Diceros bicornis minor: one gene and its partners. The main gene of each other region encodes a partner of the protein of the gene in region 4 in a complex. Links are inferred from orthologs where the notes say so. Each region holds a gene or a part of one and is shown on either strand. Other genes may lie near its edges.

What was found.
Region 1: PDRG1 (region 4) and ASDURF share a complex: the UniProt entries of both Homo sapiens proteins name them as parts of the PAQosome complex. The link is inferred for Diceros bicornis minor from reciprocal best matches to the Homo sapiens genes PDRG1 and ASDURF.
Region 2: PDRG1 (region 4) and PFDN2 share a complex: the UniProt entries of both Homo sapiens proteins name them as parts of the PAQosome complex. The link is inferred for Diceros bicornis minor from reciprocal best matches to the Homo sapiens genes PDRG1 and PFDN2.
Region 3: PDRG1 (region 4) and DNAAF10 share a complex: the UniProt entries of both Homo sapiens proteins name them as parts of the PAQosome complex. The link is inferred for Diceros bicornis minor from reciprocal best matches to the Homo sapiens genes PDRG1 and DNAAF10.

Annotation. Positions count from the first base shown.
Region 1 is NC_080749.1:68,664,321-68,671,952, reverse strand, and holds the start of ASDURF (ASNSD1 upstream open reading frame protein), read right to left. Parts: upstream 3,243-7,632; 5' UTR 3,163-3,242; coding exon 3,073-3,162; intron 1,540-3,072; coding exon 1,486-1,539; intron 239-1,485; coding exon 163-238; intron 1-162.
Region 2 is NC_080743.1:67,691,182-67,699,279, forward strand, and holds the start of PFDN2 (prefoldin subunit 2), read right to left. Parts: upstream 3,408-8,098; 5' UTR 3,379-3,407; coding exon 3,304-3,378; intron 1-3,303. Other genes in the region: NIT1 (deaminated glutathione amidase), read left to right, coding at 4,484-4,728, 4,838-4,941, 5,167-5,300, 5,468-5,593, 5,869-6,135; DEDD (death effector domain-containing protein), read right to left, coding at 7,516-7,892. UniProt on the Homo sapiens protein: Binds specifically to cytosolic chaperonin (c-CPN) and transfers target proteins to it. Binds to nascent polypeptide chain and promotes folding in an environment in which there are many competing pathways for nonnative proteins.
Region 3 is NC_080751.1:20,032,484-20,040,807, reverse strand, and holds the start of DNAAF10 (dynein axonemal assembly factor 10), read right to left. Parts: upstream 3,173-8,324; 5' UTR 2,862-3,172; coding exon 2,679-2,861; intron 1-2,678. Other genes in the region: RNA-binding protein PNO1, read left to right, coding at 3,371-3,577, 3,810-3,959, 6,989-7,072, 7,233-7,293, 7,525-7,642. UniProt on the Homo sapiens protein: Key assembly factor specifically required for the stability of axonemal dynein heavy chains in cytoplasm.
Region 4 is NC_080758.1:27,578,494-27,586,114, reverse strand, and holds the start of PDRG1 (p53 and DNA damage-regulated protein 1), read right to left. Parts: upstream 3,545-7,621; 5' UTR 3,474-3,544; coding exon 3,387-3,473; intron 1,867-3,386; coding exon 1,791-1,866; intron 945-1,790; coding exon 870-944; intron 1-869. UniProt on the Homo sapiens protein: May play a role in chaperone-mediated protein folding.

The DNA of each region.
Region 1 (7,632 bases), on a different chromosome or scaffold from region 4:
ACCGCATTAATTTTATTAACAGGTATACCACCGTCCAATCTTTAGCTATACAGTTAAACATTCAGATATAGATAGTATAATTCATGCACTACCATAAATTTCTACAGAAAGCCTACAAAAGACTTTCTGTGTGTTTCCAAATAACATCCCAAAGAAACTTACTTTTGCTTTCAGAAAGCATTTCTGTTCGGTCTGCAAGAAAGAATATGTTGCTGTTCTGTTGCTGCCTATATACTTTCTGCAAAACATAATTTAGGCTAATATCATGATTTGATCTAAAAAGTAGATGTCAAATCTCTGAACCCTATTATTGCTTATTCTTGAACTTTAGTAACATATACCTTAGCAAATACAAATAAACAAAAGTCACCCATTATCCTACCATCTAGAAACTGCTACCATTCACACTGAGGTGACACTTTTTCTCTGCATATACCACAATACCATTTCTCTTTAACAAAAAAGGCTACTGTAACTACAGACTTATAATTTGCTTTTATCCTGAACAATATATTGAGAACACTTTTTCTCAGTAGTAAGTGTTCTTTTACATTACTATATGAGTATAACATACTACAGTTTATTTGGTCGTCCTCAAGTTTTAGACATTTAAGTTGTCACCAACTTTTCACTATTATAAATCAATGTTGTGATGAACGTCTTTGTAACTAAATCTTTGTGCACTCCCATGATTCTTTCCTAAGTATTAATTCCTATAAATGGAACTGCTGGGTCAAAGTGTTACACAGTTTTAAGCTTCAATAAAGCAGTCTGCCAACTTGCCCTCTAGAAAGTTTGTATTAATTGTGCCTTAACTTCTAATATTCCACAAGTGACAGTATGAGAAATGTCTAACCTGTCAGTTATCAAATTATCTTTAAAATGCTGTAAAGGGCTCAAAATAATTTCTTCCTGAACTTTAAAATGTAATTTTTGATAGTATAACTACACATGAAGTAGTAGCTTGCTTGTTATGAATACATTAATGGAAATAGCATTAAATAACCATGTTAAATATTTGGAAGATCTGTGTAAAAATTTTTGGCAGGGAGGGGAAGCATTTATCTTTTTTGTTTTTCCAACAATTATCCACATTCACTTAGAAATAGTCTCCACTCTTCTCAACATAAAATTCACTTATTTCAAAAGAAAATACCACATTCAAGTATAAAATAAATAACATTACTGATTATAGCTCCAAGATACCACAGTACAATTTGTATCATTTGGTTCAAAGGTAATGTGAATTGCACATGATGGGGAAAAGATATCATCAACTATGATTAATCTATAGATATCTATATATGATATATATATAAAATCTTGGATGCTTTTCACTGTTGCAATTTAACTAAAAAGATGCTGAAATCTTGTAAATTTTAATATAAATATAAGTCATATATGATTCTTTTAACTTTTGTATATAGTTAATAAGATACAATCAAACCCTCCCACATACTATTCAGAATTACTCCAATAACTCACCCTGTTCTTCTTCAGGTTAGAAAGTTCATCCACAACAATTTTTTGTTCTTTAATCTATTGAAATAAAGAAAAACATCTTAAATCAGAGGTTCTCAAAGTATGCTCAATGAGGGTGCTTTAAAATTAGAGAGATGGGATAGGGGCCATAACGGGCAGTCTGTGACTATGCGGACTCTTGTCAACAGCAGTCTGGGGCGAGGAGGGGGAGACAGAGTTGGAGGAGGAAACAATGAGTAGACTTGCCAAGTGTTAGCCCATTGAGCCCAGCCAGGGAGTTTGGTGTTGGTAACCAGCATCCAGGCAAGGGCGGTAGTTACTAAACAAGGTTTATACCTTTTAGTTACACAATATGCACACAAAGTAATACCAGTTTTTCAATGATTTATGTTTTAGCTTTAAAAAAAGAAAAAAACCCAGCAAATGGAATGAGGGGTGAGTTACTCGCCCCCCCAATACCAATGGTTTTCATGATTTATGTATAAATGGTGCAGCCAGACATTCAGAACAAGCAAGTGGTACTAAATGCCCTACCTGGGGCAGTAAGACCTATCACTTTCCATCTTTGCTTTATTCCTCTTTATATCTCAAAGACTAACACAATGCTGGCACTGTTGAACTAGGCCTCGAAATAGGAGAGGGCTCCACTAAGTGGAAACAAAGTTTTTTTTCTAACTCTTTTCAGTAAAGGTAGTTATTCTGTGAACATGACTGATTACATAGTATCACTATTGCCTCTAAAAGCAGGTTTTATAAAATCTTTGTCCTACCTCAGGAACCTCAGGCATCTGTCATACATCAGTATAAGTGGCTTGCTCTGGTAGTAATCAGAGTGGGCTGTATGAGGTTTGAAAATTCACCCTTGGGGGGGGTTATTAGAGACTTGCCCAAGATGTCACTGTTAGTTTGGGACAGAACCAAAGTAGAATCTAGGACATCTAACACCTGAAAAGCTATAACCATCCCCATCTCCTATATATTTTTTAAAGGTTTTGTCTGTTTATGGCAGTTAAGATATATATTATATTGTCCCCACCTCCTGCCCCCTTTTTGGATGGAGGAGTGACAATCAAATCCGTGTTTTAGGATCATTGCTCTGGCTGATGTGGAGAAGAGAATGGAAGGTAATGATGGACGAAGCGAGACCAGTTAGGAAGCCTTTGCAGGGTAGATGAAGGTGGCTGGTGATAAACGGACATATTTGAAATGAGCTTCAGAAGCAGAACTGACAGGACTTCGCGATGGACGTCAAGGATGGTTCCCGGGTTACTGGCACGGACAACTGGATGGTTGGCGGTGACTTTTCTGAGATAGAGAACATCGGCGGCAGATCTGGGGTGGGCAGTATTTCTAAAAGTTTAAATAAAGAGAAAAAACCCCAACCAAATCTCCGCCTCACTGCCTCCTGGGTCTAATTTCGGTGCAAACTTCAGGGTCTGCCTTAATTGTAGCTGTCGAACGCTAAGAATAACAAGAGAGAAGCAGCTGGGCAAAGCCGAGAGCGGGCCACGCGGCCGCGGCAGACCTCCCCCGGGGCTGAGCGGCGCTCCGTCCCGAGCCTGCGGGCCGCTCGCCTCGTCCCACACTCACCTTGTTGCTAAGATCCTCTTTGTGAGGGGCTGAGTCGTCGGTAGGGACCAGCCCGGCGCCGTCCTCCGGGCGTGTGCCCCGGCTAGGCATCTCCACCGAGGGAACGGTACGCGGGACGCGCAGCGCAGCTGGCGCCCCAGGTGCCTCCCCAGGTGCCTCCAGCCTCCAGCCTCCAGCCCTCAGCCCCCAGCCTCCGCGCGTGCGCGCTCCCAGCGGCTCCACCCCCTCGTTTCCTTCCCTATGAGTCCTACCAATAGCTTCTGCGCACTCACTGGAACGCCTGCGCAGTCCGGGTTTGGCGTGGGAGCAGTTCCGCGCGTGCGCACAGATGCTTAGGGAGCGCGTGAGCAGAGCCTGGTTGTGAAATCGGAGAGGTTCCTGAACTGTCCGCTAGCGGATCGGCTGTGGAAACGGCCTTGTGGTCTCCACTCCCTCGCGTTCTGTAGACTGTGAGTTATATGCGCCCCCCAGTGGTCAATATAAAGAATAGAAGCGCAGTAGAACTAGACAATATTTATTATCTAGGCAAGGATGTGAAGCTAGGCACAGATTTAAGAGACACGTTTTTGGCAACAGAACTGTACAGACTTGGTGAAGTTTTTGTTAACTTGTTATTGGAGTTAAAAGATAAATACAGAATGCCCGGTTAAATATGAATTTCAGATAAATGAATGATTTTTTAGTATAAGTATGTCCCTTGCAATATTTTCAGAATCTCGCTCCAATGAGAAAAATTATCCAAGACTTGGAAATAGGCGAGAGATTACTGGGTGTTCTTTCACAGCTTTTCTGGGCTTGACTTTCTATTGACTGGGGTATTTTAACAATTCTGGAGAGGCAGAGGTAAACGTGCAGATTTTTGTCTGGCAGAGATGCAAATAATTTCTATCTGGTGGGCCAGATAACCCCACAGATTATGAATTATTGTTCTGTAATATATTAAGCAGTTTTGTATCTAACTCTGCAATCCTATCCTAACATTTCTTTATTATATATGCCTAGCTTCTCATAAACTCTCTGAATTGGTTTTAACATCTTACCTGTTCCCTCATTAATTAACGAGCTGAATAAAACTTTGGCCTATGTTCATTTTACATGTGTATGAGAGACGTGGTTTTATATTTTTGAAAATTATACTTTAACATAAGAAATCTTAAGTTTCCATGGAGATGCCCAAGTGAGCTCATGTGATGGAGCCAAACTGTATGGCTAAGGAAGTGTATGTCGTGGGTTGTTTCAGCCCAGGCATTTCTTTTATTGCCTCTTACAGTAAATCCGAAGTGGTTATAGAACTGTTTACTGTATATTTTTAATTTTTACTGATTTTTAGAAATTTTGGTTTTGTTTCTGATTTACGCATGGCTGATAAGTTATTATACATGGGTAGCAGCAGTGATTGGGAATTTGGTTTTATGGTCTAATGATTTGGTGATATCTGTTGGATGATGGAGATCTAGTCTCTATTAGAAAAGACATGACAGTGAATCCAGTTTTTTAGTCTTTTTGTTTGTCCTTTGTGAGCTCAAGTTAATTAAGAATTTCATGCTCACTGGAAAGGAGAACAGGTTTTTGAGATCTGGGCTAGTGAGTTTTTGTGTTTACTTTCAACCTGGGATTGAGGTTGTAAAACTGAAGCTATAAGCTCTCTCTGTGTCTATAATTTAGAATAGCCTTTATATCTTGTTGTGTGAATGTAAAATGTTTTCATACTCCTGGAGGGTATTAATAAATTCCATTGTAATGTCTCTTAAATTAGAGGAACTCTGTTCTGATTGGTCTACAGACACAAATATGCATTTGTGTAAATCTCCCAATTTAAAAAAAGCCCAGAATTTCTTTTTCTTTTTCTTTTTCTTTTTTTTGAGGAAGATCAGCCCTGAGCTAACATCCATGCCAATCCTCCTCTTTTTGCTGAGGAAGACCAGCCCTGAGCTAACATCTATTGCCAATCTTCCTCCTTTGTTTTCCCTTTTTCTCCCCAAAGCCCCAGTAGATAGTTTTATGTCATAGTTGCACGTCCTTCTAGTTGCTGTATGTGGGGCATGGCCTCAGCATGGCCCGACAAGCGGTGCGACAGTGCGCGCCCGGATCCAAACCCAGGCTGCCAGTAGCGGAGCACGTGCACTTAACTGCTAAGCCACGGGGCCGGCCCCCAGAATTTCTAATACTTTGAGTGCTAGACTTATAAGAAAAAAAGTCTTGCTTACAAAAGCTGCTAGCTTAGAAATATTTGAAGAATCCAAATTTATAAAATTAAGGTGAGTCTTTGGAGAAATCAGGCTAGATTAATAATTTTGGTTTAAGAAAGAAAAGGCAATTATATATCTTTTCTATATTTATCAATGTTAAGTAAAATACAGGTACTTTTTAAATAACACTTAGATTTGTTTTCTCATGAAGAGATTAGCTAATCTGAATTTCCTATGCTCTTTATGTTGGTTTACTGATTAAATAAGCTAGCATTACTGCTATGGAATATTTAAGTTTATGAAAAATGTAAATTTGTGTTCACTAAAACGAGTAATTATTCAGACAGACTTTTTAGATCAACAGTAATTATGTTTTATACCATATAAGTTTAAACATAATTCAAAAATATTTAGGTAATTAAAACTCTGAGGTAATATTAAATTGAGTTAATTAATGATTAATCATTAGATAACTAGATAATTTACTTTTAAAAGTTGAATCCTGAAACATTGATTAATAGAAGCATAATTTTAAGTTTATATACTTTTGCTTCTTGTTTTTATTTGCCATAGAATAGCTATCCTTTTGAGCCATGTTAATGGACATGTTCATTTTTCCCACTTTCAGAAGGTTTAAAGGGAATGTGTGTGGCTGTAGACAGTTGTGTTATGTGTACTTATGAGCTTCATTTGCTAAAATGCTTGCATATGACTGTTCTCAATTATCTACCTCCAGTTCTTTCTATGAAATAGAAGTTATTAAATTGGTTAAAAGTTATAACTAATGTGAGTGGCTAAGATCACATTAGGGGCAAGAGTAACAGAGAATGCAAGGTAATGGGATGAGCCTTGTTTGCAAGGAAAAAGATAGTTCTAAAGTAAAGTATCCTTTTGTTCCAGAATATGAAAGAGCACAGTAAAAGATGAAACTTGAGGAAGTATAGCAAGTTGGAGAAGGTTTGATGAAAGCGGATTTTATTTGCCTTGATTTGTAATACCTGATCCTGAAAAGAAACTATGAAATATGTTAAAACTTTGGCAAAACGCAGTTTTGAAGCTTTAGTCACAAGATAATTATTTTTTTTAAACTTTACTTCCAAATATTATATTAATTAAAAACTAAAATTTGGCATTCTTTTAACCCATCTTCTGGCTCCATTCACCAACACCTTTAGAGTTCACCACAGTTGAGCTGGTGGGAACCTATGAACACACCTCCCCTGACACATGGGATGTCATTTTATTAGTGCTTGGAGGTAAAGGTGAGGCTTATCTGTAAAGCTGAAGAGACTGAGCTTCAAATTAGTCTCTAATATGTATGGCATATTAGTCTTCTTTGTACCCCACCTTCTATGGCAGTGGCTGGCAGAGTGGGAGCTCTGGGTAATGTTCGAATTGACTCTTTGACCCACAATCATTTCCATTTTCAGTGGCCGGAAACACTGCTGATGGGTCTACAGCTGTTCACCTTGTTCTGGGGGTGAGTTGTTGCTTATGGCTCTGCCTGGTTCTAATGTTTTTGTTTATTTACAGGGGCCACCCAAGATGACATAATACTAAACCAAGTGGTGATGGTCATATTAGTATGGTGCTAAACTGTTTTCAAAGTTCTTTGACATTTTATCTTATTTTTTCATGTTTATCCAATTGCTTCTCTTTTCCCCTTCAGCTGCTGTAATTCCTGCGTTGGTTGAAGTCACGCTTTAGGGATACCTGGTATCGTTTGTCTTTTCTGGTTCGGGACTGCCCATCTGCAGCCCACTGTACAACTAACTAGGCTGTTTCCTTCTTTCATTTAAGTCCATTGTTGTCATGTATCCTACTTAATAGGATAATTTTGTGTTTATCAATGCTATTTATGCTCTTCCTCTGATGCTACATTCTTAGTATATTTCATTGTGTTTAACAATACATAGTTCACTGTTGAACATTTTATGGAAGTGATGTGTATTATTAACCTGGATTCCAAGGTTGAATGAATAGTTTCCTCAACCACTGTGTTTTTCCTTGCCTTCTCAGTATACTCTAACAGATTTATTTCTAGCCACAGAAGTCTCCTTCCTGTCTCTCCCAATGAGGTGTGAAATAGTGCTGTGGTTCCCAAGTATCAGTTAGTCTGTGGGTGCCCTTCTCAGTATATCAGAGCCCCTGAAAATCTTGTTCAGATGCCTATAGATTTCTCAGTCTTTTCCCCAGATTTACTGAATCAAATCTTTGGGAATGGGATGCAACTGTCTGCTGCATAACATAGTTATGCATTTAACCTATAACCAAAATGACTGGGCTTGAATTTTGGCTTCTACATTTATTACAAGTGTGACTTTGGTATCTCATTAGCCTCTCAAGCCCCAGTTTCCTAATCTGTAAAATG
Region 2 (8,098 bases), on a different chromosome or scaffold from region 4:
ACCTCGTTTTAATTGTTCCTCTTCTTGTCTCCCCTATTTCTGCTAACGACACCACTTTAGCCCTTCAGGTAGGAAACCCTGGTTTCATCTTCGAACACACCTTTATCCCATCAACTGCTAGATTTATTGCATCAGCAATTTTTCCTAGGCTCACTAACATCACCCTAGTTCAGGTCTTCATCATCTCTTGTCTGAACTACTGCAAGAGTCTTCTAAATTATCTCCCTATTTTTGGACTCTCCAAATCCATCCTACACACTACTGCTAATTTAATTTTCCTAACACTTGGATGACACAGAAAAATGTTCATGATATATTATTAGGCTTAAAAAGTAGATTACAAAACAGTATATACTGTATAATACTAATTTTATAAAACAAAATACATAAATACATAAAATACACATGCCTTCTCTTTCCATCTACACACACATATACAAAAACATAAAGGAGGGAGGAAAAACCTCTCAAAGGATATACTCCAAAATGGTAAGAACAGTTATCTCTGGATACTACTAGTACCATCATGGGTAATTTATTTCTTATTTTGTACTTTTTCCTGTGTTTTTACATTTTCTACAATGAACATGTATTATTTTATGTAACAGGGAAAAAAAGTCAATAGTATAATATATATCGTTCTGTGACTCCCTCACTGCTTACATTAAAAAGTCCTAAATTCTCTGCCATGCAAAGACTCAGCTTGCCTTAATGGCCACATCTTTCTGACTTACACCTCATGATTTAGCTAAACAAATTTAGCAGTCACTGCACTTTGTGTCAAGTTAAGCTTTCCCTAGCTCTCCTCTTCCTACTCTGTCCCTACATTCTATTTCCAGTACCGCCTGTTCAAATCTATCCAATCCTTCAGGTTCAGCCCAAATATCTCTAATATGATCATAGTATAGACGGAAAAAATAGGTCTGCTTCTCAAGTCCCTCAATTAAAAGCCCTGCACTTCCAGTTACTGACTTTGGGTAAATTCACTGAAGCCCCTGAAACTCAAATGTCCTTATCTATAAAGGGAGGACAATACAACCTACTTCGAATGGCTGTAATTAAATAACAGAAGATAAAACAAGTGAAGTGCCTAGCACAATGTGTTACTTGCTTCCATCTTGTTTATAAGGGACATATGTGGATCAAACTTGCAGCAGTGATAAATCTTCTATTTTTTACCCAGTGTTCTCTCTGGAACACAAGCACAAAGGCAAGAGAATGTTAAGCAAGGAACAGCCTCAGAACTCAATTATCACAACTCCTCAGTCCCTTCTGAGGGCTCTCTTTCTTTAACCCCTTAACTATTGGTTCCACCCTTGTTCTGCTTCTTTTTTCACTTTCTGTACAAATCCCCGATGACTTCATCAACAATCATGGTTTCATCTACCATTCATAAACTCATAGTTCTCTAATCTGAATCTCCAACTCAGATTTCTTTCTGTAATTCAAGATTTATAAATCAAACCGCCTTCTAAATGTCTCTACCAGGATGTCCCACAAGAAACCCAAACTCAAAATCCTAAAATGAACTTATTTTCCCCCCAAACTGGTCCATCTTCCTACATTCCCTATGGCACCAGCATCCATCAAAGACAAAAACTTGAGACACATCCTCTTTTATCCCTTTTTCTCCACATTCAAGTCTGGTAGTCCATCCTAAACTTTAACTCCACCTGCACCCCAAACATGTCAGGCAGTTTCATGCCTTAGTGCTCTTAAACACATTATTCTCTCTAGCTAGAAAATCCTTCACTTCCTTCTTTGCTTCACTAACTTCTCTCATCCTTTAGAATTGAGCTGAAGGATTATTTCCTCTAGAAAACAAAATAACTAGCACTTATTAAATACACAGTATATTACAGTCACTGTGCAAAACACTGCATGCATTGTCTTGCCTAATAATCAAACGCAGTGATGAGGTAGGTACCATTATGTTTTTATAGGAGGGGAAGGTGGAGAGAATTAACTCATGGGAGGTCATCTATAGACAGTAAGCAGGAGAAATGTGATTCAAACACAGGTTTGACCCACCCCACTGACCCCAGTGCACTTCTGACACTCTTGGCCACCCCACTATACCACAGCTTGCCTTCTCCACCCATGCCTCAAATCCCATAACCTCCTGCTTAGTTAGAGGTCCCTCCTCTAGCTGCCATAAAGAAGGGCCTTTGTGTAACCCTGTACATCTTATTGTTTCGTTTGTCTTTTCTCAAATGAGTCTGGAGCTAACTTGAAAACAAAGTCTATTTCATTTATCTGTTTCCCTGTACCCACCAGAGCTCCTGGCACATGGCAGACCCTCAAAAAGGGTATTAGGTTCCCTCTCACTTCCCTTTTTTCCCTTAAGCCAGAAACTCTCTCTTTCCCCCCTCCCCAAAACCCCATAGCACTTTATACCTCATATTTAATTTATAAATTTTATAATATAAATTTTATTAAAGATAAAATTTATCTTCTGCCTCATATTAGCATTTTGTATGTCTTATTTTCCCACCAGACTATGAGCTCTTTGACTGCATAGGTCAGTTTGAAAAATCTTTATGCAGATACCCTCGCCTGTAGTAATTGTTCAACAAATAACTGATAAATAAAACTATAATTTAAAGAGCTGTTGTTTAACTGCGTTTTTCTTTATATTATGTAGGTTTCTTACCTCTATTAAACACTAGCCCCACTATCAGCAAACCATGGTTTCCCAAGCCTCAAAGGGCTTTCTAATTAATTTATCAAACGTTTCTCGATGTCAGGCACTGGGGGAAATGCAAACTCGGATTAAAAACGGTTTCTGGTCTCTAAAGAAATTCAATCTAACAATGACTCCCAAATTAAAATAGTATGGAACACTAGACTTATCGAGTATGTGAGTCACGCACGTGGCTCTGCAGAGTGACGGCGACTGTCAACGTGGTTTCAGGGTCACGTAACAAACTACACAACCAGCCCGTTGACTAATACCCTGAGATCCGTTACCAGCTGTCTTGCCCTGCCATACACACCCCGTCTGAGGGTGCGGAGAGGTGGGGAAAGTGACGACTATCTCCCCTCAGACCTGTGCATCCTCCCAGACCCTGCATCTCAGGGCTTTCCCCTCCCCCAGGCTCACCAACACCCCAAGGGGGGCGTGGCTTTCACCCACCAACCCGCCCACTCTCTCCCCGGGGGTTCGGCTAGCTTCTCCAAGTACCCTCCCCTCTCTCGGCGGCCACGCAAATGTGGGCCTGCACCAGCCTCAGGCTCCCCGCTCTTCTCGCATCGACTCCACGCCCAGCCGCGTTGGCCCCCTCCGCGTTCTCCGCGCCTCACCTGCTCTGCCGACACCGCCCCCTTCCCCGCGCCACTCCCGCTGCTCTTGCCGGCGCGACCGCTGCTCTCCGCCATCTTCGCCGCCTGCTGGCTTCCCGGCGTGCGCAGCTCAGCCCCCGCCTTGCGTCACGTCCGGTCTCGGAGTTACCGCCCACTCGCCCCCGGCGCCTCTGCTTCCAGGCCGCTTTTCGGTTCGGATCCTGCGAATGGTTTTGGCAGTACCTTCATGTAGGACCTGCTTCCTAGCCCGCTGGCCGCGGTGAATTCCACCTGTGGTGCTTTAACTTGTGCAGCAGAGACGCTACCCCTGAGGGAGGCGGGGAAGGACGGGCCAACTGGAGAGTGGGGGCGCGGGTTGGGATTCGGGTGCCGGTGCCCCTTGCCTACCACGGGGTGGTGGGGAACCAGGGAGGGTGAACTTCCACTCAGAGATTGTGGTGTAATGGGGAAAATATGCTTTGAGTCAGTAAGGCTGTGCAGGTGCACAGTCAAGGAGAGAGGCTGAGAAAACCAAGGAAATTTCTCGGGGGTGACTTTTGAACTGCAGAAAAGTTTGGCAGAGGACAAGGGCTTCAGGTTAATGTGAGATCACTAGAAGTCGAGGTATTCAGGTGCCGAGCAGAGCCCTTTTCTCCATCTTCCCACTTTATGATCTCTTCCTGTAGCCCATAATTATTTATAGTAAAGAGTGTTTTGAAGACGGGAGTTTTTCCTGGCAGAGCCCTGATTTAGCCTCACAGTATGAAGAGAGAAGTCAGAAAATCCGAGAGATTTATCGCTTGAGGGACGGGTTGGTTTCCTGATTTCTCATCTTCCTCAGGCTGGGCTTCATCATCAGGCCTCCTCACCAGCTCCTGTCCCTTCTTTTGTGTCCTGGACTCCGGCTACCTCGACTCTCAGTACTTTGTGCTCAGCCCAGGTAACCGTGTTTTGTTGTGTCCTCAATGCCTGGCGCATCGCAGGTGCTCAATAAGTGTTTGTTAAATGAATGGATGGTGGGAAACACTGGGCTACCAGCCATCCACAGAACATTTGATTGGTGGGTCATTGTGCCTTGTGAGAACAGAATCAAAGGGCAGTTCAGCCTTCCTTCCTCCCCATTTGATCCCTTCATCATCAAACTTGGATTTCCCCATGCTGGGAAGTGAGTCCTGCCTGTGCCATCCACAGACCCAGAGCCATGGCTATCTCCTCCTCCTCCTGTGAACTGCCCCTTGTGGCTGTGTGCCAGGTAACATCGACACCTGACAAACAGCAGAACTTTAAAACTTGTGCTGAGCTAGTTCGAGAGGCTGCCAGACTGGGCTCTTGCCTGGCTTTTCTGCCTGAGGCATTTGACTTCATTGCACGAGATCCTGCAGAGACGCTACGCCTGTCTGAGCCACTGGATGGGAACCTTTTGGGAGAATATACCCAGCTTGCCAGGTATCAGGGAAAGGGGGAGGGAGAGGTAGTTTCTTTGTTGGGCAGTGTCCCTGGATTGCCAGATATGAGTAGAGCCTTGAGAAGAGTTGTCAGTGTCCCTTCCTCCCAGGGAATGTGGACTCTGGCTGTCCTTGGGTGGTTTCCATGAGCGTGGCCAAGACTGGGAGCAGACTCAGAAAATCTACAATTGTCATGTGCTTCTGAACAGCAAGGGTGAGACTTCATAACTCTTTAGCCTGCCTCTTCGCAGGCTCTTCTACCTAAACTAAGATTCTCCAGAATTCTGTTTTGTTTCTCAACTCTATTTCCTCGGCCTAGGGTTTCAGGGTGTTTGTACTTCTGTTCATACCTATAAACTGTCTCCTCCTTGGGAGGAGAAGAACTAAGCTGAGCTTCTAAAGCACCAGCACTGAGTATTCCTTCTCTCTCTTATTCTAGGGTCAGTAGTGGCCACTTACAGGAAGACACATCTGTGTGACGTAGAGATTCCAGGGCAGGGACCTATGCGTGAAAGCAATTCTACCCTGCCTGGGCCCAGTCTTGAGTCACCTGTCAGCACACCAGCAGGCAAGGTGGGAGTTGTGAAAGGATAAGGGTGGGCAAACAAGAGGGAGGGGAATTAGGAATACTTTGACCTGGTAGTAGAGGATAGAAAGCCCTAAGGAATGGGTAGCAGGGGTATAACTAGATGCTGTGACACACAGGACAGGGGGGCTAACTAGGCTCGTTTTCTTTCCAGGTTGGTCTAGCTATCTGCTATGACATGCGGTTCCCTGAACTGTCTCTGGCATTGGCTCAGGCTGGAGCAGAAATACTTACCTACCCTTCAGCTTTTGGATCTGTAACAGGCCCAGCCCACTGGGAGGTAAGAGGACACCTCTTCAAAATATAAGGGCCTTCTCTTGACCTCATTCTTCTCCCTTGGCCCTACCAGTTGAAAGACTTTCTTCCCCTTCCCAGCTAGTGAGAAAATTCATTCCCCAGATCGTTGCCTAACTTATGTTAAAGAATAAATAAATCATTCCTAAACAATTATCAGAATGGCCCCGATGGGTATATTGGCCTGTAATGTCCATTGCTTATCACTTCCCCACTAGCACCTGTGTCTACTTACGCGAACACACATCTCCTCATCCCCAGGTGTTGCTGCGGGCACGTGCCATTGAAACCCAGTGCTATGTAGTGGCAGCAGCACAGTGTGGACGCCACCATGAGAAGAGATCAAGTTATGGCCAGAGCATGGTGGTGGATCCCTGGGGAACAGTGGTGGCCCGCTGCTCTGAGGGACAAGGCCTCTGCCTTGCCCGAATTGACCTCAATTATCTGCGACAGTTGCGCCAACACCTGCCTGTATTCCAGCATCGCAGGCCTGACCTCTATGGCAATCTGGGTCACCCACGGTCTTAAGACTTTTGACTTCTGTGAGTTGAGACCCCCATTGTGAGCTGGTGTTGCTGTGACTTGTAGGCAGGACCCAGGCACAGCTCCCCTCACTTGGGGAACCTTGACTCTCTTGATGGAACACAGGCTCAGCTTCTTGGGAAAGAAGAAACTTGCACCTGAGCTCAGATTTCAGTTTCAGAAAAGTGGAATTTTATGTAGTCACTGTTTATTTCATGAAAACTGAAGTTACGCTGAGGGCTGAGCAGCACTGGCATTGAAAAAAATATAATCATAAAGTCTGTGTCTGGACATCTCCTCTGGGAGCTGAAAGGGAGGTGGTATTGTACCAGCTGGACTGGGCTCCAGTTCTAGGCTTCCTGGCTCACTCAACATGCCTCCCCACCTAAATAAAAGTGCAACACTCAGTGCATGTCCCAGCCCCATGCTCCCAAGCTTGGGAGTGGGATTGGGGGTAGAGGATGGGGAAGGAAAAAGAAGAAAGGAGTTGATATTGAATTACTTCACTTTCACCTATGATGCCCTTTGCCCAAGTCATAAGAAAGCAAAGGGGAAAAGGGCTGCAGGGTACATTATTTATTTTCACTTGAACATGGAAGGAAAGTGTCACACTCCCCCTTCCCCTTTTTAGGGGGAGTGTATTTTAATTAGCAACAACTTCTCCATCCACCCTGTGTATGTGTGTACACACACACACCACAGTTGGGAGAGGCGACTAGGCTGACCTAGTCCTCTTACCTATTACTCCCTTGAAGAGGGTTTGACAAAGGAAGAAAAGGAACCACACCAGGCAGAGGTTTCAAGCCATGGAATGGAGGAAACAAGGCAGAGAGGAGCAGCACCAGAGGCCAGGAGAGAGTGGAAAGGGCCACAGCTTCTTTGTTTTTTAAAAATTCTATAATTTGGGAGAGGGTGGTGATTAATTTCCAAAATACACTTCAGAGTCCCACCTTCCACATAGCTCCCTTACTCACAGCCCTTTGGTTTTTCAGACAAAATTTAAGAGCCCCCATAAAGCCAGAAGTACTGATAACCCCTCAATGCACCCAAAAGCAGTGTTCACTTCAATCCCTTACAAAGACTATGTTCCATAGACTTTGCTTCTCTCTATACATTTGTCTTACGGCTCAGTGGCAAGGTGGCTGTAGAGACATACATTAGGGGGATAAGTGGAAAAGGGGAACAAAGGGGAAGCCCAGGCACATGGGTGCAGGGAGGGGTGGGGAACACCACTTCCATTTTCCTTTGTCTTTTCCTTTAAAAAAAAAAAAAAAAGGCAGGGGTGTGATTGGTTGGAAGGGTAGAGAACAAACCCCAGAACAGTATGTAAGCTCCAGAGGTGGGTGGTGGGAACAGTCCCCCAGAGAAGTGAGAAAGGGGAAAAGGTCAGGGCAATGCTTGCAGCATCAAGTTCCTCAGGAGTTTCTGTCGGCCCAGCTCATAGTCCTCCTCATCCACATTCACCAGCAGCTTAATGGCTTCATGGCCCACAGCCTGCTTGAGGGAGTCTGTGATAAAGACACCTTTAAGTGCCTCTAGTAATGAGCCATTGATGTAGTCGCGCCAGAATGCATCGAGGTAGGTGAGCTCAGAGAACTTGATATCACAGATGATGGAGCCCAGGTCCCGGGACTTGAGGATGGTGTTGGCCTGGTTAAAGCGCTCAAACTGGCGCTCAAGTGGGTCCTGCTTGTTAGAGAAGACATTGCCCTGCAGAGCAGTCTCGTGCTGGCAGTATTCAGCTCGAACCCGCAGTCTGATGTCTGTGGGGAAGAGAAGATACATAGGAGTGGTTGCAGTAAGGGGTGAGTTTACAACCCAAGTTTGAAAGGTTAAATAGCAGAGTAGCACAGTCGGGAACATCACCAGACAGCAGCTCTACCTCTTCCCCAGGACTAGTTCTTTTCTATGTACCTCTGAAATCCTTGCCTGAATGCAGAAGGTTCCCTTGATTGGGCCATGCCCAAGT
Region 3 (8,324 bases), on a different chromosome or scaffold from region 4:
CACCTATGTGTGGTGTAACCAACTGCTTATCTGTACGAGGCCCTGCCCTCATTCCCTATCTACCCAACAAGACGAGGAAGGCATCAACAAGACCTATCTGCTTCCTTCCTCTTTATCTTGGATACAAAGCATGGGGTTTGGAGCACATGACTTGAGGTGGTTCCACAAGGATAGAATCAAGAATGTTTCCTAACATTTTAATAAATAATTCATCTAGTCCAATGGTAGTTAACCCTGGTATTCATTAGAATCACCTGGTGGAAGTTTAAAAAATACTGATGTCTAGGCCTCACTCTAGTCTAGACGCACGAGTCCCAGTGCATCAGAATTTCTAGGGGTGGGACCAAGGCATGAATATTTAAAAGACACACATACACACAAACAACAGCAACAAGACACATTCAGGTGATCCTGATGCACAGTAAGAGATGGGAATCAGTGACCCTGTACTTAACCTATATTCTTCTCCACTGCATCATCATAGCCAAATACAAGTTCTTAAATGTGTTACTACATGTTTTATCCTCTCTTCAGACAGCAGGCTCTTGAGGAGACGGGACTCATCTTTCAAATACCTTTGGTCCTTCTTTAGCATAGTACCTTGAAATAATAGGGTCTTAATAGATGGTTTATGACAGAAAAAAAAAGACCCAAAGGAAACAGGTGAATATATAAAAAGTGGTTACTCCTAGGGCTGAGATTATGGCTGATAGTAATTTTCCTCTTACCCACATTTTTAAAACGCTCTGTCATAAACACACAAAACTTTTGTTAAAAAGATTATTTTTTTAAAAACTTGCTAGAATCCTCCAGAATCTCTAGAAGGGACAAAGAGCACTATTTCACTTCATGGAACAAGTGTATTCCTGAAATGTACACAAGTCATAGAGTCTTATTTAAAAAAGTCACAAGCCTGTAGATGCTCTCTGCTTAAGCTTTGATTGGTTCCTAATACTTCACCATTAGGTTTCTTTCTACTATTCCAATGTTTCCCATTTGTTCAATCTCCGGACTCCAACTGATTAATGATCAGTAAATCAATAGTTAAGTTTCCCAAGTTAGATCCTTTTACAGACATAGATTTACTCATTCTCTTAACAAGTCATTCATCGAGTGGCTGCTCCTTACAAACCACACTCAAGAAAGACACTGTTCTTGCTCTGCAGGAGCTTACACTCCAATCAGGGGTAAACGGGACAGAAGGATATATCTCTGGCACAGATAATAAGCACCATATGAATGCAATGTAAAGAACAGTTATTTTGTGTGGGGCTAAGGAAGGAACTTCATAAATCAGATCATCTGAACGGGACCTCAGAATAGAAATAGGTGACTGGGGCCTAAGGGGTGAACAACATAAGGAAAGGTGGAAAAGAACAAGCCATGTTTAGGATCTCTGAGTAGAGTGCCTGGCTAGAGAAGACAAACTAAACAAGAGAACTGGCATTCATAGAAATCTAAAGTGGGAAGGGGCCTTACATACCTTCTAATCTAAGCTTTTCTATGGAAATTGTATTCATTCTTTACCTACCAGGTTAACCCCTAGCTCCTCCAAGCAGATTCTCTCCATAGCTTTTGATCTCTGGAGTTCTCAGCCTTCCCTGCAGTCTATTAACCCTAAACACCTGAGTATGACTAACCTTTTTTTTTTTCAGGCAACCCAAGTCAAAGCATTTTTAAAACTGTAAACAGGTATAAAAATGTTAATTAATGTCATTATTCTCCAAATCTTTCGCTAGTGATCTTTACAAAACTTGTAAACCTGATCTTGCTACACCCTGTTGAAAGCCCTTCAACACTGTCCCATTTTTCTTAGAAAAAAAGCATAAATCTTTTAAATGACCTACAGATCTTGCGACTTCTGGTCCCTGCTTACCACTCATATTTCTTAAGGCGATAACCTCTCTCCCGTCGCTGAACTCCACATATGCTGTTTCCTCTGGAAACCTTCTCCACTCCTAGTTTGGCCTGGTTAGCTTCTACTCATCCCAAACCTGTTTTTACTCTCAGAGAACCGCGTTCCTTTATGTTAGAGAATTCATCTCAGTTTGTATTTGTGCACTGTTGATTTGATTATTTAACTGATTCTCTCTCCCACTAGAAAATAAACTCCAAGAGATCGGGGACCTTGTCATTCACATGTCTGGGAATACCAGGCAATCAACTGATACTAGTTTAGAGAATAAATGTTAGGTTGTCTCCTCCAATTACACAGCAGGCATTCTGGTGCCTGCTTTGGCTCTGCTTGTGTGGAAAAAGCATGTTACTAACATGGTAACATGTTATTAACACACTATTAACAGACTCTCCACAAAGAACTGCGCACCGCCCAGAAGGGCCTCCAAGTTAGACACGAAATCGTAACGTCACTTCAGAGACCTCGCGCTGGACTGCGAGGGTAGCTGGAGGTAGATGGAGGAAGGGGCCGGCAGGGCGCAGATGAACTAGCCCGCCGAGGAGAATTCAGGACTCGAACGAAATCGTTTAATGTCGGAAGTATTCCTCAATCTGCGATCAGCTTGCTAGCCCCACGCAGCTGGAACTGTGCTTCTCGGGAACCCTGGAGGAAGGCTTTGGCAAAAAAGAAATGCAGACCCCCTCCCTCCCCCAGGACCCGCACTCGCCCCACAACGGCACTTCCACATCCCACAACTGCGCAGTCTCGACCCGGCACCCACCTCCCGAAGCAGCTTTAGGTCACCGTGCTGGATCTCGTACAGCTGAATGACGCCGGTCCCCCGTGCGAAGTTGCCCATGGTCACAAATTTGGCGCTGCAGGGCACCCACTTACAGTCAAACACCGTGTAGTTGAGGCCCTTCTGGATATGAGCGATGATCTGAGGCTTCTCGAAGGCCGACATGGTCCAGCCGATTTCGCCTCTGCCAACCGGCACACCCAGACCCTGACAAAACACTAACCTGGAAACCAGACTCCAAATATTGACGATTGTCCCTTCCGTTTGCGTACTCGCCCCTAAACCCTCGCTAGTTGGATTTAGTTGTCTCAGGTAATGCCAGATGCGCTACTGAAGTCACACAAGATTTTTCTTCACGACGGCACAAACGTTTATCGTTTCTACCTACTGCCTTTCGCACATACACAGATTAGAGATCACAGAATACTTTGGCTGCCAATAGCGGGGCCAGAGGGAAACTCTAAGAATCAGGCATATTGTAGGATAGCCCTGCTTCCTCACCAACAAACACACACAAAATCATGCTTCAGGTCCCCTGCGTGGGACCTCTCAGGGAAGGGGGAGGAGCCCTGGGGCTGGTTGGCGAACGCCGGATTGCGGGAGGTGCGCCTGCGCAGTACAGCAGTGCACGTGGTCGAGCCGGAAGCGCCCACTGGGACTGGAGATTCCTGGGGATGGCAACCGAGATGGAGGCGCAGAGCGTCGGGGCCGAGGACGGCTTCACCCAGGTCACCCGCAAGGGTGGCCGGCGGGCGAAGAAACGGCAGGCTGAGCCGCTGTCCGCAGCGGGGGAGGGCGGGGACGCGGGCCGCATGGACACCGAGGAGGCCCGACCCGCGAAGAGGCCCGTCTTCCCGCCCCTCTCCGGGGACGGGTTCCTGGTACTGGCGGGACCCTGGGACAGAAACGGGGCAGGGGCCGGAGGCGGGTCAAGCCGGTGGTCTCTGGGTGATGTTGAAGCTGCTGGGGCTCTTCTGACTTCTATTAGAGAAGTAACTCTGCTGAAGTTTAATTCGTTCAGTTAAAGGAAGCTTTTTGTGGATGGGCTGTCACTTTACAACTCCACGCCCGTTCCTCCAGACGTCTCCTGAGTTGTGTGTTCTTTTATTGTAGGGTGGGAAAGAAGAAACAAGGAAAGTGCCAGTCCCAGCTAACAGATACACGCCGTTAAAAGAGAACTGGATGAAGATATTTACTCCTATTGTAGAACATTTGGGACTTCAGATACGCTTTAACTTGAAATCGAGGAATGTAGAAATCAGGGTAAGGAGAATGTCAGGCATTTCCAAATATAGCAGGGTTTCTCCTACAGGGATGAAAATGCACCAATAGACTTTCCTTAACGGGACTTATTTTATCAAATGGTTTTCTTCCAGTTTTCTAATTTAGTGAGTTTGAACTTCTCAAATGCCTTCAGGGTCTGCGTTTAACACAAATATTAATTAAATTCATATGTTAGGTCTGAGATCGAAATACTGGCTATGCCTGTGCCTGTTTTGTACAATAATGTTCTCTGTTGAATTGAGAAGAGGTCCAGAGGCCGGCCCTGTGGCGTAGTGGTTAAGTTTGTGCCCTCCGCTGCTGGTGGCCACGGTTCGGATCCCCGGCCCGCACCAAAGCACCGCTTGTCAGGCCATGCTGTGGCAGCGTCCCATATAAAGTGGAGGAAGATGGGCACAGATGTTAGCCCAGGGCCAGTCTTCCTCAACAAAAAGAGGAGGATTGGCATGGATGTTAGCTCAGGGCTGATCTTCCTCACCAAAAAAAAAACAAAGAGGTCCAGTAAAGAGGTTATCATAAACAGAAGTATGTAAATAATGAACCCAAGTGCTTGCTGCAGTACAGGCAATATATATTTTAAAAGTATTCTTTTGGGGAAAAATATGTATTATTTTGAGAATAAGTATAAATTATATATATATGTATTTTTTTTCATTCCATGATGTCAGTCCAGAAATTAGACAATTAAAATTAATTGACTTATGTCTTCTTTTTCTGGATGTCAACTTTGTTTCATAATCAATGACCAAAATTAATTACATCTTCCATTTTGAGGACTGTTAATGCTGTTATAGACTTATCTCTGTTGAGAGACCAGAATAATGGAATAATGCAGAGAGGCCCTTCTCTAAATAGTTGGTAAAGGTTAAAATATAGAACTTGACAGTAGAACTCCTCTTCGTTCCCACTGCCACTTTCATTCAGGTTTTTCTGGTTTCATGCCAAAACTTCTTGTTTCCTTATGGGTTTCTGTTGTTTCATTGCTTTAAATCTCCTTTCACCACTCCACCCTTTATGCCAGAGCCAGATTAATTTTCCCAGACCATGCTGCTTTTGTTATGATATCCTGGTATCTTCAGTGTCTCTGAAGGATAAAAGTTAAGTTTTTGACTGAACTTGCCTTTCAAGTACAAGTCTCAGTCCTAAGTTCGTCTCACCATCTCTGAACATTTGTATCTTCACACTTATGGGTGGCTTTGCTCTCTGAAGAAGGCCCTCTCCTCCCTACCCCCTTTCTCTTCCTACCTCAGTTCCAGTCATCCTTCAGAGTCTAGCTCAAGTTCTTTCTCCTTTATGATGGGTCCCTTTTTCAGTCGTGTCGTCAGTGCCTAGACTTCGATTGTGCTTAGCTGTCTTGTGTATTGCAGTGTTATCAATTTGGATTCCACTAACATTTGCTGATACTACTCTTTGCCAGACACAGAGTGGTGCTTTGGCATGCACTACATCATTTTGATCTTTAGGACAGCCCTATGAGGTGGATGACTTACATATCCCCATCTTATAGATGTGAGGAAACTGAGGGGCAAAGGAGTATCTTAGCCAAAGTCATCAAGGTAATAAGTGAATCGTGACTCTAGTAGGGACCTCTCAGGATCTCCTACTCTGACCTCCTTATTTTACAGGTGAGAAAGCTTAAGATCTAGAGTGTCTATGGGACTTGCCCAAGGTCACATATAGGATTGGGACTGGGCTCTAGTTTTAAATTTGCCATTACACAGCCCTGTATTGTTTTTGTGTGTGTGTGTGTGAGGAAGATTAGCCCTGAGCTAACATCTGTTGCCAATCCTCCTCTTTTTTGCTGAGGAAGACTGGCCCTGGGCTAACATCCGTGCCCATCTTCCTCTACTTTATGTGGGATGCCGCCGCAGCATGGCTTGACAAGCAGTGCGTCAGTGTGCGCCCAGGATCCGAACCAGCGAACCCTGGGCCGCCACAGTGGAGTGTACGCACTTAACAACTACGCCACCGGGCTGGCCCCAGCCCTATATTGTTTTAAATTTGTCAAATATGTGGTCTCTTCTACTAGATTGTGTGAGTGGAAGAGTGGAAATAACAGTTTTGGAATCAGATCTGTGTTCAATCTCACTTTTTCCACTTTTTAGTACTTTAGTTTCCTCAAATATAAAAGTATTGGGTGCCCCGTGACATAGTGGTTAAGTTTGGTGGGCTCTGCTTCGGCGGCCTGGGGTTCGCAGTTTGGATCCCGGGTGTGGACCTGCACCAGTCATCAGCTGCGCTGAGGTGGCGACCCACATACAAAATAGAGGAAGATTGGCACAGATGTTAGCTCAGGGACAGTCTTCCTCAAGCAACAAAAGAGGAAGATTGGCAATATATGTTAGCTCAGGGTGAATCTTCCTCACCAAAAAAGAATATATATGTATATGTAAAAGTATTTATATTACTTAACATTCAGAGTTGTCGTGAAGATTAGAGCTATAGCGTGCAAAGTACCTTTGTAGTGCATCTTTTACAGTGGTAGGCATTTTAGGAATAGCAGCTATTTCTGTGATTATTGAATAAACTCCATGAGGGTACCATCCTTGCTTAAACCATTCTTGGTATTAGTCCTGGAGTTGTTGCTTTGGGAAACATCAGCATGTAAATAATGACTGAAGTCAGGAGATAGATCAGGACTCCCAGGAGACTGGACTGAAGGGGAAGACGACCAACTTGGGCATTGACGGGATGAACCGGGGGCTGGAGCCCTTCAGAATGTGAGCGATTGGGCTCTGCCAGAGGCATCTTGCTGATCGTCCCAGAATCCAATCAGGCAAGGAGCATCGTCGGTCATTTGATGGTCTTTGGGTGGAACTGCCCAGCTGTGGAGCTGGAACCTTTTATTTTGCAAATTAAACACAGTACTTACCTCACCAAAAACAGAGTCATAGAGAATATATTGGGGAAGGGTGATGGTGAAGGAAATTACAGTAATGGGAAAGGTATTTTGTTAGAATATTGTCTTTTTCATCCCCAGCTATAATTTGTGCTAATTTTTTTTTTAACAGACATGTAAAGAAACCAAGGATGTTAGTGCTCTGACAAAAGCAGCTGATTTTGTGAAAGCCTTTATTCTCGGGTTTCAGGTGGAGGTGAGTGACTTCATGACGTCTGAAATGGGGGCTTGAAAAATACTGAGTAAGAATGTTTCAATGGATTTGGGTTTTTTTTTTTTTTTTTGAGTTTTCTAGTTCTACAGTTTGTGAATTTTAGCTTACCGCTCATTCTCAGGTGTTTATTTTTATATTGTAGGACGCACTTGCCCTTATTAGGTTGGATGACCTCTTCCTGGAGTCTTTTGAAATTACGGATGGTGAGTGTATGGTAGTCTTTCTTATGAAATACTGTACTTTTGTATTGTGTGTGACTGTCAGCTTTCTAATAACATCAATTGAGCTATATTATTAGCAGCTTTTTAAAAAATACATATTTCGTGTCTTTTAGTAGGGAAATTTAGTTAATGATTAAACTTTATGTGGAAGTGGTGGTGTACTGGAATACACTGGAATGGCTTACCTCTTGACATCTTGCTTTTCTCATTTAGTTAAGCCCTTAAAGGGAGACCACCTGTCAAGGGCAATAGGAAGAATCGCTGGCAAAGGAGGAAAAACCAAATTCACCATAGAGAATGTGACACGGACGCGGATAGTTTTGGCTGACGTGTAAGCATGTGATCTTGAGAAAATTACTGTCATCATTTGTATTTAATATTTTGCTGGTCTCAAAAAGTCGTCAAGATTGTATTTTATGCATAATGTCACCACTAAATCTTTGTTAATGTATGGTTGTGGATGAATAGATATGTACTTTGAAAGCAGATTGTTAGTTGAGAAAATCTTAGAAATTATAGCTTTTTTCTCAATTAGCAATGAAGGAAATGTTTAGAATCACTATTAAAAGAAATTACATGACAGGTAAAGATTTAAATAGTATCTCAGGGGAGTCTATTAAATCAGTAGGGGAGAGCAAGGAGTAGGTGTTTTAAATGCCATTGTGAGGCTTTCCTTTAAAAAAAAAATATATATATGTAATTTATTTATTTAGATATAAAAGCCTTTCATAAAAGGAAGGTGAATATTGCATGTTGGGTGAGAGCAATTATATGTGAACATAAATAAGATGATACGGGCTTAAAAAAAGGGTGTAGGAAGTCAAGCTGGGATTACCCCTGTCTGAGGTTGAAGCTGCTCCGTTGCCAGGTCGGGATTACTGGCAGATGGCTCAGGGATTATATAATGCCAGGAAGTTGGGAAATGAAGAGGTTGACTGAGAAGAGGAGGGATCGGCCTGCTACTAAATCCGGAAATAATTTTATTTAAAATTATGCTATCTTTGCTCTAAACT
Region 4 (7,621 bases):
CCCTATCTTCAGGGCCTGAGGCAACCTTGCTGGTCCTACTGGCCCCTACGTTTCCAAGGGTGGGGAAGAGAAAATATGCGTAACTTGCTCTTTTCCCAGACAAGGGGCCATTTGTAGCCTGTCTTTTTGCCTTCATGATGCTTCTCCAAAGAGCCTCCAAGATCATGGCTGTGAAGATTTGAGTAACATACATGGAGGGGCTGGGCTGTGGCAGACCGTAGAGGTTCACTCTCTCCAAACCTGCATTTTCAACTCAGTCTCTCTTGCAGGGGATGTGAAAAATCAAAGCTCACCCCCCGCTGCAGGCTCCCCTGCAGCTCTGGGCGGCCATAAGACTTAGTGCTGGCCTAGGAGATGTCGGAAGCCCCTGAGGAGGGCAGCCTTCCTTCCAAAATAGAAGGCAAGGTCACATATGGAGAAAGCCCTCTGCCTTTCCTCCAGCCTGGCACGTGGACATGAGGCCTGCAGCGAGGACACAACAACCATGAGACTATGCTAAGCTGACACTGCTAAACAGCAGAGCCAGTCCTGGACCGCTCACCTCTGGACAACTTCTTCCTCTATTTCCTTAAGCCTCCATTTGTTGAGTTTTCTGTTATTTGTGGCCCACCCTGCTCCTCACTGATAAAGAAGCACTATGCTGGGCAGGCATACTGTTAGATCTCAACTTCACAACATAGATGCACCCCACCTTTAGGGATGAGGAAATAACTCGGCAGCAAAGCAGGGATTAAAACTCACATCAGTCTGAACCCGTCAACAGAGCCGCCTCTCGTCGAGCTGCCCAAAGCCTGACGCTCAGTTCCGGGTTAAGACAGAGGCTGGGTGGGAGGCAGCCGCGTCCCTGACCCGTGCCCAGGAGGCCTTACCTTTCTCAATCATTTCCTTCGTCTCAGGGTGAGTCATCTTGATAAACATGTTCCCGAAGCAAACCATCACATCTTCTGAAATGGCAAACAGTCATTCCCTCAACAAATATTTTTTGAGCACTTACTATCTTCCAGGCATTGTTTTAGATGCTGAGTACACAGCAGAACAAGACAAAGTTCCTGCCCTCATAGAGCTTATGCTGTAATGGTGGAGAGGAAACAAATAAGCAAAGATATGCTCTGTCAGACGCTGACAAGTCTAAGTACTGTAGAGAAAAATAAAGCACAGTGAGAGGGATGGGCAATGCCAGAGTAGGCGAGGGACCTGTTACTTACACCAGGTGGTCCGAGAAGGTCTCACTGAGAGGAATTTCTCAGTGTGAGAAATTTCTCACTTCTTTGACATTTGGGCAGAGACCCAAAGAAAGTAAGGAGAGTGAGGACGTGAGCCCTGCAGACATCTGGGGAAAGAGCGAGCCAGGCAGAGGAAACAGAAACAGCTCAGTAATGTGCCTGGAGTGTTAGAAACGGCAAGAAAACCAGTGTAGATGGAGAGTGAGTGATGGGGAGAGTAGAGGAGATGATCGTGGAGAGTTCAAGTGGGTCTGGACTACTTGGGGTCTCGCAGGACTGGGTCTTACTCTGGTGAGATGAGAAGCAACTGGAAGGTTTCAGGCTTTCCAGGGCGCTTGAAACAAAACTCGAACTTCTTCCCTCGGCCCCCAAGGCCCTTCATTATGGCCTGGCCTCTGCCCATCTCTCCAGCCTTATCACGCACCCCTCCCCCACTGCTTACCCTGTCACAGCCACTTGGCCTCATCTAAAGAACCCCATCCCTTCCTCCAACACCTACCCCACGTCCAGTTCCATCTTCGGCTTTCCCCCAATTTTCAATTACGTAATTATGTCGTCTTGACTTACCAGAGAGGCTCAGGTCCCTCTGCAGGGCTCTCAGGCCCTCTCGGTTCTGATTCCTTTTGGTGTCCAGGTCCACAATCTGAAAAGCACAGGGGCAGGAGGGAACTCAGCTGCCTCTTGCTCCTACCTGTCACCCCCCAACAGACCAGGGGCTCTTAAAACCTAACAGAGAACGAGGCGTCACTCCTGGGTTACTTCCAATGTCCTGTCTAAAAGGGGCTGATGTATGAATGTTTCTCTTTCCCCACTCAGCTTCCAGGTCCTTAAAGACCACGCTTTGTGCAGGTGTCTTCCTCCCAGAGAAGATGCTGGGAAAACGTTTGCTGACTAAACGGATAATTTCTTATTACCCACTGGAGCACTAGTTCTCAAGCTCTTGGGCATTTCAGAATCACCAGGGGAGTGGAGTCCTCTCCCTGGATTAGCTCCTCCATCTGATTTTGACCTCGTATCATGAGAAATCCTAAAATACTAGACTGGAACAGCAGGGGTGGGGGCACTGAGATGGTGGTAACATGGCAATAGCTAATAAGGAAGTGAGGAGGTAGTGAGGTATACTGCCTGGGAGCACTGGCTCTGGAGCCCCAAGACCAGGCTTGAATCCTGCTGCCTACGAGCTGTGTAATTTCACCTTCCTTAGCACAGTACTTGACACACACTAAGTACTTGATAAACTTTAACTGCTAGTATTACTATCACCCAGCTCACCTTGATGCAGTGTTTAATGAGCTCTTCCCCTTCTCAGTAAATACCCGACCACCCACGCAATCTTTCTAACTGCAGATGAGCAGTCAGGAACCATTCTTGATCCTCCCACTCCCTCACCCCTCTATGTAACCATCATCAAGGCCCACTAAGTCCATCTCCAAAATATATTTCAGACCCATTCTCTTGTCTCCATCACCGCCCCCCTGGTCCAAATGCATCTCTCACCTGGACCATGGCAATGGCCCCTCACAGGCCCCTTGTCCCCCACTATATTCTGTGCCCCACAAGAGGCCAAAGGGATTCTTTTAAAACCTAAATCCAATTCCATCATCCTCCCTTCGCCCCCATGAACTCCTTTCAGACACTTCAATTACAACCAGACCCAAATCGCTGGGCCGGTCTACAAGGTCCCCCCTGATGCGCCCCACCTTCCTCCAACGTCCCCACTCCCGCGCCATCACAAGACCACTCAGGCCTCTTTTCTGGTCCTCTTCTCCCCTCAGGGCCTGGACCCGGGCGGTGTAGCCTAGATCAATTAGGGGGCCCAGGAACTGCATTTTGAAAAACGTGTTCACGTACACCGCCCAAAGGAGCAACGGTCAGGATCCAGACAGCACGGCAAGGGGCAGAGGAAGGATGGAGAGGGAAGGCCTAGCACAGAGCAGCCGCTCACTTAATGGGGGCCGAATAAATGAGCGAAGCGCGGCGCTGTGCCAAGCGTCTGACCCACATTATCTCACAACCGTCACAACCATCAGCGCACCTGCCCGGATCAACTCGCTGAGAGCCGGTGCCCGAGCCAGACTCCGGACCCGCGCGCTTCCCCACGGCGCCCGCCGCCAGGCCGCAAGCGCCCAACCCCGGCCCCAGCGCCGCGGACGGGCCTCCCACCTGCCGCTTGTCCGCCAGCACCTCCTCGGCGAGCTCCTCCACCTCCACCAGGTACCGCAGCACCCGCTCCGCCTCGGGCGACAGCATGAAGCCCACCAGCTCGGACTCTGCTCCCACACAAGCCGACTCTAGCTCCGCTCCGTCTCCGCCTGCGCAGGCGCCGCTCTGACAGGCCTGCCGGCGCGCATGCGCAACTAAAGCAGAACCGTGGCGCGCAGGCTCCAACGCACGCTCGCCAGCCGGACACGGGAGGCGGGGCCTTGCTTTGGGGCGCGGCTGGAGCGCGTGAGAGAGCTTTGGAGAAATATAAATCATTCTTCCCCTGTTTGAGGAACACCAAGGAGGCCCATGTGGCAGTGTGACTTATAGTGAACCTCTGACGCCTTCAGTTTCCAATTTATAAAACGGAAGTCAATAAAGATCCCCCTCATTGTCTCTCTGCAGGACTAGAAGGAGGCAGGAATCACTTTCAATTCAGTTTGACCAGTGTTCATTGAACCCCTGTGTTGGGCCCAATGTCCAGCGTAGTTGACCTAGACCCAAGGAAGGGGCTGGAAAACCATGGGCAGTGAGCAATAAAGTCTGTGAGTTCCGGAAAGCGAATCACTGTGGACTGTAGGATCCGGGAGGACCTCCAAGAAGAGGCAGGCAGGTGGAAAGTGGCTGCCCTTCATAACCAGCGAGTTCCCTAGAGATCGTTATGCCCAAACCACTCTGTGTACGGCTAGAAGAACAAGGCTCAGAGGGCGATGAGGACTGCAAAAAGTCAACAGCAGACCTGATACGAGAACTCTGACCTCCTGCCTCCCTGAGTCCAGCGTCTTATTCTCCCCTTTTGGCCCCTTGGAACCAAGCCCTTTCCACCCCTTGCCTTACTTGAATTTCACAACAACCTTTGTATGGGTGGGTTATTACTGCCCCATTTCACGGCTGCAGACTGAGGCCGGGAGAAGGGCAATTCTTTGTCACACACATATCAGAAGCAAACGTGAGTCTAGAAGCGCTCTGGTCTCCAACCACAGCTGTCTCTGGATCTTGAAAAGAAACTCTCCCCAAACTGTGGCCCCAGCAGTCCCAGGAGCGCCTCCTCATTTTCTGGCCTTTGGCTTCCTTCAGCTGCTAGAGGCCCAGCTAATTATCCCTGCAGCCGCCTGGCATGGAGAAAGAAGGAGATTCATTAAGGATTCCTCACTGAGGGTGAATTTGTTGCCAAACCCAGGATGTTTTGTGTAAACACCTTCTGGTTCAGAAACGCAGACACAGGCCCTGTGAAGGAAGGGGGAACATTTGCCAAAGGAGCAACTGGGCTCACCAGGCCTCCCTGGGGCCTGGACCCCAGAACTGGGTCTCCTCTTTGGGGCCCAAAGAGGGCTGGACCAGGCTGACCCCTGACCCCTGCTAGTTGGGCCCGGATGGGGAAGGGTTGAGGGAGCCTCCCGGGTTGGCAGCTTCTTGGCCGTGACCGGCCCTTAGAGGGCACCCCTGGCCTCTAGAAGTGTTGGGGAGGGACGTCATACCCAAGACTTTGAGACAGTCAGACCTGGAAAAACTCTTGCTTCAGAACCACTTATGTTCCAGAACCATCTATTTCACAAATATTTATTCACTGCCCTGGCCCTGTTATAGGGATTCCACCAGGAACAAAACCAGACATGGTCCTTGCCCTCAGAAAGCTTCCAGTCTGGTGGGAGAGACCGTCAATAAACACATGGACAAGTAAATGTATCATATGTCAGGTGGTGACGAGTGCTTTGAGAACAACAGAGCAGGCCAAGGTGGAGAGGGAATGAGGGAGGAGCTGTCTGAGAAAAGGTGGTCAAGGAGGGCTTCTCTGAAGAGTTGGCATTTCAGCAGAGATGCGGAGGAGGTGAGGAGTGAGCCATGTGGATATCTGGGGGAAGAGCATTCCGGGCAGAGGGAACAACAAACACCAAGGCCCTGAGATGAGCCTTTGTTTGGCAAGTTGGAAGGACAGCGAGGCCAGTGTAGGTGGAACAGAATGAGCAAGGAGGAGAGGTAAGAAATGAGGGCAGAAGGAGGAAGGCGGCGTTAAGCATATGGGGCTATAGAAAGGGCTGTAGGTGCCCTGTCCAAATGGGCAAGGCCCTCCCTGGCAGTCGCCTGCAGACACTGCTGCACAGGCCTGTGGCTTCCTGCTTCTGAGCTCACGGATGCAGGTTGAGTGGGGAAAGCCGATGAGTTACCCACAGGAGCAGCCCTCAACCAAGAAGAGAGAGGAGTTAGTGGCTGCATAGCCCAGCTTCTTTGCCCCCCTGTGGGAGACCCAAGAGGAGGCTGCTGCAATCATCCAGGTAAGAGAGGATGGTCACTGGACCAGGGAAGCAGTGGGGATGGTGAGCAGTGGTGGGATTCTCAAGGCCTTTGCACACACTCCTCCATCAGCCTGGGTTAATTTTCTCCCACATCTGTATACCTGTGTAACTAATACGTATCCCCCACTTGTTGGCTTGGTGTCACCTATTTCCAAGGGTCAACAATTGGGGCCCCCACAGCTTCCTGAGCTTCTCCTGTCTCTGCACTTACCACACCATCTTTTTTCTCTAATCATCTCCCTCTCTATTCGTGAGCTCCTCAGGGCGGGGACCTAGTCTGTCTTGTTCCCTGCAATGTCTCCAGAACCTAGAATGGTGCCTGGCACACAGTAGGTGCTCAGTCAGTGTTTATGGAATGAATGAGTGGACTCAGCATGAAGCAGAACTTTCTAAAATCCAAAGTATCCAATGAGCAGAGCTAACTCAAGGGTAGCTAGTTCCCATCCCAGAAGGTCTATATGACTGGACTGCTCCGTGGTCGGGATTTTGCAGAGGGTGCATCCTTCTGCAGCCTGGGTGGGGATGATCCCTAAGTCTTTCCTAACCAGAAAAACTCTCCCTGGTCACACTGGGGTATGCCCCCATCTTTAGCCACCTCAAGCCCGGGCTGAAAGGAAGGTAGCTGCTGGGGCATTGGCCTTTGGGGACTGGAGCCAACAAGAATGATGCTCCACCCATTCCCCTTGAGTCTCCTTTTACTGTTTCTGTGTGTCCCCTTGGGTATGTGTTCAGTGACCAGCACCCCTTCTCTCCTTGGGAGGACTGCCCTCAGGCTGCCGGAGCTCCGGGGAGACTTACCCTCCCTCCACGCTGTGACCCATCACTGCAGGGATAGGAAAGTCCACCTGCCTTGCCTGGGATGCTGGCGTGTAGGCGGATAACTCTGAGGTGTAACTTATACTCCACAGTTCCCCTCTGGGATCAGGCTGAGCTGCCACCCATACGACATCCACAAGCCCTGTTTGACTTCCTCTCCATCTTGGTCCTGCGTCCCCCACTCATTCATGGTCAAAACCCTCCAATGCTCACATCTCACTCAGTAAAAGCCAAACGCCTCACGGAGGCCCCCAAGGCCCTATGTGACCTGCCCTACCTCTCTGAGGCATCTCCCACCTCTCTCCCCCCTCCTTGCTGTTCCTCAAACAAGCCAGGCATAGTCTCACCTCAGGGCCTTTGCACTGGCTGCTCCCTCTGCCTGCACTTTCCCTTGATGTCTACATGTCTCCCTCCCTTGCCTCCTATAAGTCTTTGCTTAAATTTCACCTTCTCAATGAGGCCTACCCTGACCACTCTATTTAAAAATGCAACCCTCCCACTCCCAGTATTCCTGATCCACTTCCTCTGCTCTACTTTTTCTTTTTTTCCATAACATTTTTCACTTTCCAACATGCTATATAATTTACTTATATTTACTGTTAATCTCTCTCTGCTAGAAAGGAAGCTCTGTGAGAGCAGGAATTTTTGTCTCATTTGTTCCTGATGTATCCCAAATGCCTAGACAGTGCCTGGACCATAGAAGGTGCTCAATAAACATTTTTGAATGAATGAATGAGGAAAAGAGCCAGAATTCTAACCAAGGCAGATCCTCTCTAAGGCCAGGGTCTTAACCCCTATGCTGGATGTGGGGGGTGGGAGTGGCAGATCACACTAGGCCTTGCCAGTTAAGGTAAGGGGATTGGATTTTGTTCTCAGATCAGTGCGAAGCCACTGGAGGGTTCTGAGCAAGCACAGGACACAATTGAGTTTACTTTGTGAAGCCCCCTCTGGCTGTGGATGGGCTAAAAGGGGCAAGCATGGTGCAGTCCTCTGGGGGGGTGTTGGAGGTGGGACCGTGATGATGGGGCTTGGAGAGGTGACAGCGCTGCGGCTACACTGGGCCTGGGAGCAGCGAGAAACCGGTTC